2 linked regions of the Macaca fascicularis genome follow. The protein of the gene in region 1 interacts with the protein of each later gene in a biochemical or structural test. Links are inferred from orthologs where the notes say so. Each region holds a gene or a part of one and is shown in the gene's direction. Other genes may lie near its edges.

What was found.
Region 2: of the proteins of FBXL17 (region 1) and SUFU, one has a biochemical effect on the other in vitro, tested with the Homo sapiens proteins (2 studies listed by BioGRID, with this or other methods). The link is inferred for Macaca fascicularis from reciprocal best matches to the Homo sapiens genes FBXL17 and SUFU.

What each region holds. Positions count from the first base shown.
Region 1 is NC_088380.1:114,883,255-114,887,706, reverse strand, and holds the start of FBXL17 (F-box/LRR-repeat protein 17), read left to right. Parts: upstream 1-1,363; 5' UTR 1,364-1,781; coding exon 1,782-2,777; intron 2,778-4,452. UniProt on the Homo sapiens protein: Substrate-recognition component of the SCF(FBXL17) E3 ubiquitin ligase complex, a key component of a quality control pathway required to ensure functional dimerization of BTB domain-containing proteins (dimerization quality control, DQC).
Region 2 is NC_088383.1:111,512,229-111,516,757, forward strand, and holds the start of SUFU (suppressor of fused homolog), read left to right. Parts: upstream 1-1,480; 5' UTR 1,481-1,671; coding exon 1,672-1,853; intron 1,854-4,529. Other genes in the region: ACTR1A (alpha-centractin), read right to left, coding at 110-157. UniProt on the Homo sapiens protein: Negative regulator in the hedgehog/smoothened signaling pathway. Down-regulates GLI1-mediated transactivation of target genes. Down-regulates GLI2-mediated transactivation of target genes. Part of a corepressor complex that acts on DNA-bound GLI1.

The sequences.
Region 1 (4,452 bases):
TCTGACAAAGAGGCCACAATAAACAAATGTTGGATAGCATGTTTGAGTGCAGACTGGGTGGCGCTGGCCACTATAGTGGTAATAGCAATGTAGGTTCCAACAGAGGTCTCTAAGTCACTGGGCCTTGAATATTGCAATACTGCTCCCTCAGTCAGCTCTCTCAAGTTATCCTTAGCAGATTTTTTTTTTAAACAGCTGCCACTTCACTTCCACCCTTCAGCAGGTAACCAAGCTCTATCTGAAGGAAAATAGAAACCATCAGAAAGGAACTCTCACCTTCCGGCTAGAAACATCCACCTATCTATATTCATCCTTTATCTACCTTTCGTCATTCTCTGTAATCACAATGAAGAAAGTGTCCTTCCTAAAGCACTCTCCATTCCACCTTCTCCTATTTCTCTCATTGGAGTCGCTCATTCCCATCGGTATTTGCTTCCTCCAATTCTTCGCTTGTGAAAGCTAACTTCTCCAGACCAGGTGCCGCTCTAGTAGCTGCCCTAGCTCTCTAGCCTCGATATAGTCAAACCTTCTAACGGACTGCCTGCACAGCTATTTCCTCTTTCTCATCCGACTCACCAAGGTTTGTCATACAGCCGGCACTGCACCGTCATGTTTAAAATATATAACAGATGGCTAGACAGCATTCCGAGGGTGCAGACAATAAAGTGATCTACAGCTTGTAGCCTGGGTGTTGGATGGCTCATTGGGTGGGGAAGCTGTTATCTTTCCACCGTGCACAGGTAATTTGATATATGCTTTCACTCTGAAATAAAGTTGTGGAAAGGCAGTAGTACGCAACAATTAATAAAACACAAGTGAGTAAACAGTGATGCCGCACAACCAATCAACCCCTCACATGACTTGGGTGCGTATCACCCACCGGCCGCATCTGCCACTCCGCCCAAGGCGCGGTCAGCACCCACGCCGGCCCTTCCGGCGGAACCCGCCTCGCGGCTTCGAAGTGGCCTGGGTTTCCGAGTCAGGGGTGGTGATAGGGGTGGAAGATGAGGGGAAGAGCCGAGCGGCTACCGGCCAATGGCAGCTCTTGAACTTACACCTCGAGACGTCAGCGCGGCTGTGTAAACGGATGTCACACAGCTGGCTCGGAAGTGTCTCCTCCCGCCTTAGAAAAGCGGCGCACGCCCAGCAGCTTCGGAAAAACCTTAGGCGGCTGGAGGGAGGGGCGCGCGCCGCACCCCGCGAGCCCAGAGCTCCATACCCTAGCCGGCCGGCTTCTTCCCGTAGTGCCGTGTGGCTGCCGTTCCGGGTGAGCAGCGGGCGCTAGCGTCCCCGCCACGAGCGCGCCACCGCAACTGGCTCCGCCCCCTGCCGGAACGGGCCGCGCGTTCCTGCGGCTCCGAGCAGAGTCGCGGGCGCGCGCGCCGGCGGCAGATCCGCAGTTAAAATGGTCCGAGCGGGACCCGGCCTTGCCCCCGCTGCCGCGCTGACTGACTGAGCCGGCTGGCCGGGCCCGGACTGGTCACCTAGCCGGCAGGCTCGCTCGCTCGCTCACTCCCTCGCGTCCCCAAAGCTCGCGCCCATCGTTCTCCCGGCTTCCCTGGGCAGAGCATGTAGCCCCCGTCGGGCACTCCGGCGGCCCGCAGCTGACGCCCACCCCCCACCGTCGCGTGTGTGCCCGTGTGTGCGTGTGTGTGCGCAGGGAGGGCGACCCCGCCGTGGGCCGGGGGCCGAGCCAGCGAGCGGCCTGCCCCGCTGCCAGGAGCCCGCCTCTCTGGGTCTCCCTCCCTCCCGTCCCGGTCCCCCTCCTCGGGGTCTTCTATATGGGCCACCTTCTCTCGAAGGAGCCGCGTAACCGCCCGAGCCAGAAGAGGCCTCGCTGTTGCAGTTGGTGCCGCCGCCGGCGCCCTCTCCTCAGGCTGCCCCGCCGGACCCCAGCCAAGGTGCCCCCTCAACCGGCGGCACCCCGGAGCCGGGACTGCTTCTTCCGCGGGCCCTGCATGCTCTGCTTCATCGTGCACAGTCCCGGCGCGCCCGCCCCCGCCGGCCCAGAGGAGGAGCCGCCGCTCTCGCCGCCGCCGCCGCCGCGGGACGGGGCCTACGCTGCCGCCTCCTCCTCCCAGCACCTGGCGCGGCGCTACGCGGCCCTGGCCGCCGAGGACTGCGCCGCTGCCGCCCGCCGCTTCCTGCTATCCTCGGCCGCCGCCGCCGCAGCCGCTGCCGCCTCGGCTTCGTCGCCCGCCTCCTGCTGCAAAGAGTTGGGGCTGGCTGCGGCCGCCGCCTGGGAGCAGCAGGGCCGAAGTCTCTTCCTGGCCAGCTTGGGGCCGGTGCGCTTCCTGGGGCCGCCCGCCGCCGTGCAGCTCTTCCGGGGACCGACACCGCCGCCGGCCGAGCCCCCTACGCCCCCCGAAATGGTGTGCAAGCGGAAGGGGGCCGGGGTCCCAGCCTGCACCCCCTGCAAGCAGCCCCGCTGCGGCGGCGGGGGCTGCGGCAGCGGCGGCGGTGGTGGTGGGGGAGGGCCTGCGGGGGGAGGCGCTTCGCCGCCCCGACCCCCCGACGCCGGCTGCTGCCAGGGCCCGGAGCAGCACCCGCAGCCGCTCTGCCCCCCGCCCTCTTCTCCCACCTCCGAAGGTGCCCCTACCGAAGCTGGCGGGGACGCTGTCCGAGCCGGGGGCACCGCCCCCTCGTCCGCCCAGCAGCAGCATGAATGTGGCGACGCGGACTGTCGGGAGCCCCCCGAAAACCCCTGCGACTGTCACAGGGAGCCGTCCCCCGAAACCCCAGACATCAACCAGCTGCCGCCGTCCATCCTGCTCAAGGTGGGTCTGGGCGAGAGGCGCAGGGATGCTCGCTTTCCCCCACCCTCGGCCCCCGCCTCTGAGGCTTTCTCTCTCCTCCCCCTAAACGCGGAGGAGGGGGGTTCCCTGACAGTCTAGGGACGTCCGAAGGGGAGACTGGGAAGCCAGTGGGGCCTCTGCGTATGACCTATTTTTTGAAGTAGGAGCACTTGGAGTCTACTGAATGTCTTTTAATAGCTTGACTCTGTAACCCACCATTCAGGGTTCAGCTATTATTAGAATCCCAACCCAGTCGTTTAGAAACTTCGCAGGTATTCTGTGGAAAAGAAAAAAAAAATTAATCGGGAAGTTTATACTTAGTGGGTAAAGGCTTTGCGTATTAGTATTTGAAGGTCTTCAAACATTACTTTTATGTTTGATGATTGGTAGTTAATGTCAAACAGTTATTATTGAGCATTTACCATAATCAGGCGCTGCACCAGAACTTTATATATATAATATCCCATTTATTCCTTCAGTTAAAGCTGCGAGATAAATACTGTTAATATCTTTATTTTATACCAGAAGAAACTGACTTCTCCGTGCTGTGGGCCACTGTTTACAGTAGTGAGTCAGGCAGAAGTGGCCTTTGCTCCTGTGGAGCTGACAGTCTAGTGGGGCTTGAAGTGGTCGAATGACTTGTGCAAGGTCACATACAGAAAGTAAAGGGCAGATCTAGGTCTTGAATGAGGGAATTTAAGACCACCTGACTTTAAAACCCCTTTGTTTATGCTATGTTGTAATGCCCTTCTACAGTTTAGCCTTTGCATAAAAGCATGCAGATTACCAGAGGTAAGCGCAGATGTATTTTTTGTTGGGAAATGGGTGAGTAGAGGTAGGTGTCCTATATGAACTTTGTGTCATTTTCAACTATCAAGGATATTTTGCAGTTTTGTCAATGCTAGTGACAAACTTTAGTTACATAATAGAGTTTTTCTTAAGTTATTAACTTTTTTCCTCTTTTTCTGTCTTCTCCCACCCTACCCTATGTGGAGCTTAATAAATATAAACCATTTTCATTGTGGATGATACTAGAGACTATCCATAAATAATCTTGATAAGAATTTGGCTACTTTTACCGTTACTGAAGTAACTGTCAGTAATTACAATTGTTATTGTCACCAATATAGTTTCTGTGACTAGACTTTTTGCATATTTACAGTACTGTGTGTTTGGGTCTTTTTTACTGTGATATTAATGTTCTTGTGAATGATACAGCAAGAAGGTGGGAAAACTTACATTTCCTTGTGTCAAAATGTAATGATCTAATTCTTATGGAGGTCTACTTGTTGGAAGAGTAATTCCCTACTCTTTGTGTGCAGAGGTGCATTTTAGGACAAAGGGAACTTTCTTGAGTCCTTTAAATCACTGGATGATATGGATAAATAAAATATCAACAAATATTTGGTATAGAAATTTGATTGCTCTCTTCTTATTTGGCAAATAAGACTGTTTCAAAATGAACCAAAACAAAGCCAGGTACCTTCTACTTTTTTACTTAAACCATTATTTCATGAGGTAAAAAACATTTTAATGCCAAGGAAAAAAAAAGGGGGACATGGGCTCATAATAAAGAGAAACTCTAATAGAATAAAATAAACTTATTCTATTAATACCGCATTGTTCTTTTTCATATTTTTTCCTGAGGATTGTTGAA
Region 2 (4,529 bases), on another chromosome or scaffold:
CAGGCCGGGCCAGTGACAAAGAGCCGGCGGCTCAGGCTGAACCCCGGGAAGCGATCCTTTCTAGGAGGAGAGCCCAAGTCCCCTTACAAATGGGAAAGACGCAACTCACGTTGTCGATCACGACAGGCTGGTTGGCGATCACATCGTAGGACTCCATGGCAGAGGAATCTCTCCTTCTGGGGAAGGAACTGCCTAGCCGGGTCCGCCGCTAGCGCCACTGACACGCATGCGCAGTCTAGCCGCCGGCTCAGGGAGGCGAGGGAGCTGCCCTACCTCACCTCTGAAAAACTACAATCCCCAGCATGCTTTGCGCCTGGGTTAGCGCTCTAGGTTGCTTTGTTGCCCGCCTAATTTAAGACTGGGAGTCGTATTTCCGATGCACAGTACCCTGGGATTTGTGGTCTCCCTAGATTAAACAGCCAGAGACACAGGTTGATGGTCATGTTGCATGCCTGGATCTGTAGTCCCTTTGAAGGAGTTCGCAGTGCATACTGAGGTGTATAGTCTTCTTGAGTACTTGTCTGTAGTTCGGTTTGGATTGGTCGTAATTCATGGATGTTTGGATTTTGCAGATCAGTCCTGCCACTCCCCACAACGTTCCCTTAGACAATATAAGGTTCTCATGCTTTTATTTGGGTCTATAAGACTAATAAACATCTCCTAGCACCTCACACTCTAACGAAAAGGAAATGTTAACACACGTACGCGACAGGACATATTCCTACAACATAGGAAAACAATTTAAATTGCATAAAATTAGCTTTAAGGAAAAAACCTGTACATTGTTGTTGCTTTTTGGGTTTTCTTTTTTTCTGCATAGGTGTAAACTTTATAACAGGCTAACATTGATCCGAGGATTGGCAATTGGAACTACTGTTATAGGTAATCTTTTGGTCATTAAAACATCATCTAAGGGTTTCAGGAACTGCTGTAGTATCTCTTTAATTTTCATGAGGAGCTAGAATTGGCATTGACGGTTGAGAAAGTGGAGGTGAAGAGAGGTTATGTGTCACTGCTTTCAAATGAGCCCAGTGCATTTTTTTCTTTGGATTATGTTCTTCCCCAGCCCCCTTCAAATTGCAGGAACCTTTTTGTCAATAGCCCTAGAAAATATTAGATTTATTATAATCTATTAATATTAACGCCCCATGGATTAATGAATCAATCCATTGTCAGATTTATGTTTAAATCCTAGTTAGCAGCGCGTCAGCAAAACAGTAACAAATCCTTTGTTGGCGCACTTCTTGGTGCTTTCGTGGGACCCTAGCACCTCAGAGGGTGCTCAGCATCTCTAAACTTGGGTTCCTCCTAACACTAGGGGGAGACCAAGAGCCTTGGGACACTCCCAACACGGGGGGGGGAGGGGCCTATTGTCAAGTCACGCCGTCTCTGCCTGTGACTAGCACAGACACTAGCCAATGGGTGCTTGGATAGGGCGCGCCGGCGCCCCGCCTTCCTGAGCGCCCCGCCGCCCCGAGGCACCCTCTGGCAGACTCCGCGGCGGCGACAGCCTGGGCGGACAGTGCGCCGTGCGCAGGCGCGGAGCTGGACCTCGCTGCAGCCCCCATCGCCTCGGGGAGTCTCACCCACCGAGTCCGCCCGCTGGCCCGTCAGTGCTCTCCCCCTCGTTTGCCCTCTCCAGTTCTCCCAGGGCCTGCCCTACGCGCCCCGATGGCGGAGCTGCGGCCTAGCGGCGCCCCCGGCCCCACCGCACCCCCGGCCCCTGGCCCGACTGCCCCTCCAGCCTTCGCTTCGCTCTTTCCCCCGGGACTGCACGCCATCTACGGAGAGTGCCGCCGCCTTTACCCTGACCAGCCGAACCCGCTCCAGGTTACCGCTATCGTCAAGTACTGGTATGCTCTGGGCCGCGGGGAGACGGACAGGCGCGGGCTGGGAAGGGTTAAAGCGCCGAGGGCGAAGTAATTTGTGGGAGGCTGGGAGGAGGGGTAGAGAACGGTTAAAGCACTTGGAAGGAGGGCTTCCTGCTGCGAGGGAAGGAGTTAAGGCTCAAGTTGGGAATGGGGACAAAGGGGTTAACGGAGCCTGTGGGTAGTGAAGGGTTAACCGGGTTTAGGAGAATAGAGTGAGGACTAGGGGTGTGTGTAGGAGCAGAGAGGGGAACGGCATGAGCGAGGGAACTGTAAACGTGGTGAAAAGAGGGGGCGCCTGTAGGGGGTCATTAGTGGGCGAGGGGAAGCCAAGCGGGGGCGGCAGAAGTGGGATGGGAGAGGCGAGGCGGAGCCTGGGGAGCATTTGAGAGGGTTTTGGAGGAGCGAGGCCGGAGAAGCTCAGAGGGCAAGAGACTGCATAGGATGGCGGGCGGGGGGCGGTTCGGGGGGCCCGGGGCTCTCCTGTTGGAGGTAGGAGGGCCAAAGATGAGGGCCTGGTGCTTGTGGAGAGATGAGGAGGAGGTCTCCTTTTGATACCTTCCCGATGAACTCAGACGTCGTATCAGGGTAAAGCTTTTGCTTTTGAAGTTTGACGGAGCAGCTCTTCCTGATAAACTTCTTGCTTACTCTGCACTGTTCTCTTTCTCCGTGCAGAGCTTCCTCCTAGCTCTGCAGCGGCTTTGCTTTAGGACATTAGGTAGAGAGAACCATGGTTTGGTTTAGGATTGAAAGGGACCACAGCTTCCCACCTCCATTTGGAAATAAATGATGGAGACCCTGGGACTCCAGCAGGGAGGAATTGTGAAGTGGGACATAAAGAGGAGCTTCTTGACCATGGCCTGCAGTTTCTCCGGGGAGCTGAGAGTAACCCTCAAGTAGCTTTAGGGTAGGAATGGTCTTTTCTAATTTCCCGTTCCTGTTTGCAACCTGTTTCTTCCTGCAGCATTTGGGCAAAACAGATGTTCTGGGGACTCTGGAAAAGAACCTGTCCTCATGGTCTTGCTGGACCAAAAACAGATACTGGTTGAAACTGTCCAGGACTACATTCATGCAGGCATTGTGTTAGATGATCTTCAGTGAGTCCTGAAAGATGTTCGGCAGCTGCTTGGGGTGTAGCCAAAGGGTAGACCTGAAGGGGCAAGTGGACATCTTTGCTGGTTACCTCTCCTTTTAGAACTGAGTCTCCCTCTTGGTGAAAACCTGTTACTTCCCCTGGACATGGATTTCAGTAGGCTGTGCAGGGCTGAGGCCAGCTGCCTGTGTCAACGGGAGGATGCCAAGAGGCCAACAGCGTGGAGGGCCTGGGGACCAGCCACCTGCTGTCTAGGAAGGGTTGTAGGGAACAGCCTCCTCTGTTGGAGTAGCCAGGAGGAGGTAGAACTGGTGTCACAGTCCTCTCTGGCTGGCAAACAGTTCTCTGGTTGAGAGGAGTTGTTGAAGAGTGCTTCTGAGTGGAAAGCAGCTCTTGCTAGCTTAATGACCCATTCTCATTGTGCCTTTATATTTAACTATTTGTTGTGATGAACTTGTTGTCATGTGTCATGAGAAAGGTAGGCCTGGGCTGGGCACGGTGGCTCATGCCTATATTCCCACCACTTTGGGAGGCCTTGAGGATCCTTTGAGGCCAGGAGTTCGAGAGCAGTTTAGGCAACATAGCCAGACCTTGTCTCTGTTATTTGAAAAACAAAAAAGGAAGTGGGCCTGGCTCTGCCATGCTGTTTGTTCAGGCCTCATTTGAGTGTGAGGAGAAATCCCTACATAGATTCAGGCAACTATTTTTATGTCACACAAGTAGCCATAAAGGATAGAATTGCATGTTAAAGGTATGATAGTGTTTGCAAAGGACTAAGGGCAATTTTTTTTTCCCTTCCTGCTGCAAGCTTGTTAACAGCCGTATCTTCAGAGATGGGCCAACATGTGATAATGAAGAAAAGGGATTGTACAGCACTTTGTGAAAGCCTTGCCTAGATGCAGAAAAATATAAAGAGAAACAGCACAGTGACTGGTACTTTCTCTTTTTTGTTTGAGACAGAGTTTTGTTCTGTCACCCAGGCTGGAATGCAGTAGCATGATCTTGGCTCACTGCAACCTCTGTCTCCTGGTTTCAAGCGATTCTCATGCCTCAGCCTCCCAAGTAGCTGGTATTACAGGCGCACACCACCATGCCCAGCTAATTTTTGTATTTTTAGTACAGGCAGGGTTTCACCATATTGGCCAGGCTGGTCTCAAACTCCTGACCTTGAGTGATCCACCCACCTCGGCCTCCCAAAGTGCTGGGATTACAGGCATGAGTCAGTGCGCCCAGCCGTCAATGACTGGTACTTTCTAAGATGCGGAGGGGTTTGCAAAAATAAGATCCTGAAATTCATTTATATTCCTCACATTTGGGATCCCACGAGGTTTCTAGCAGGATGACTGACCCAGACTGTCTGGGTCTGTCTGTGGCCCAGGGTAGCTTGGGATTCATTTTGCAATAGCAGGGTGGCTCTGTGGCTAGTGATCCCTGAGTAGTGGGGACTACTAACTGAAAGCTTTCTAACTGAAAGCTGAGACTTTGGTGAGCAAGGATCAAAGCAGAGAGTCAGAACCTGTACTCATGGCCCACTTCAGTCCTGCAACTGCCCTGCCGAGAGAAGTTGG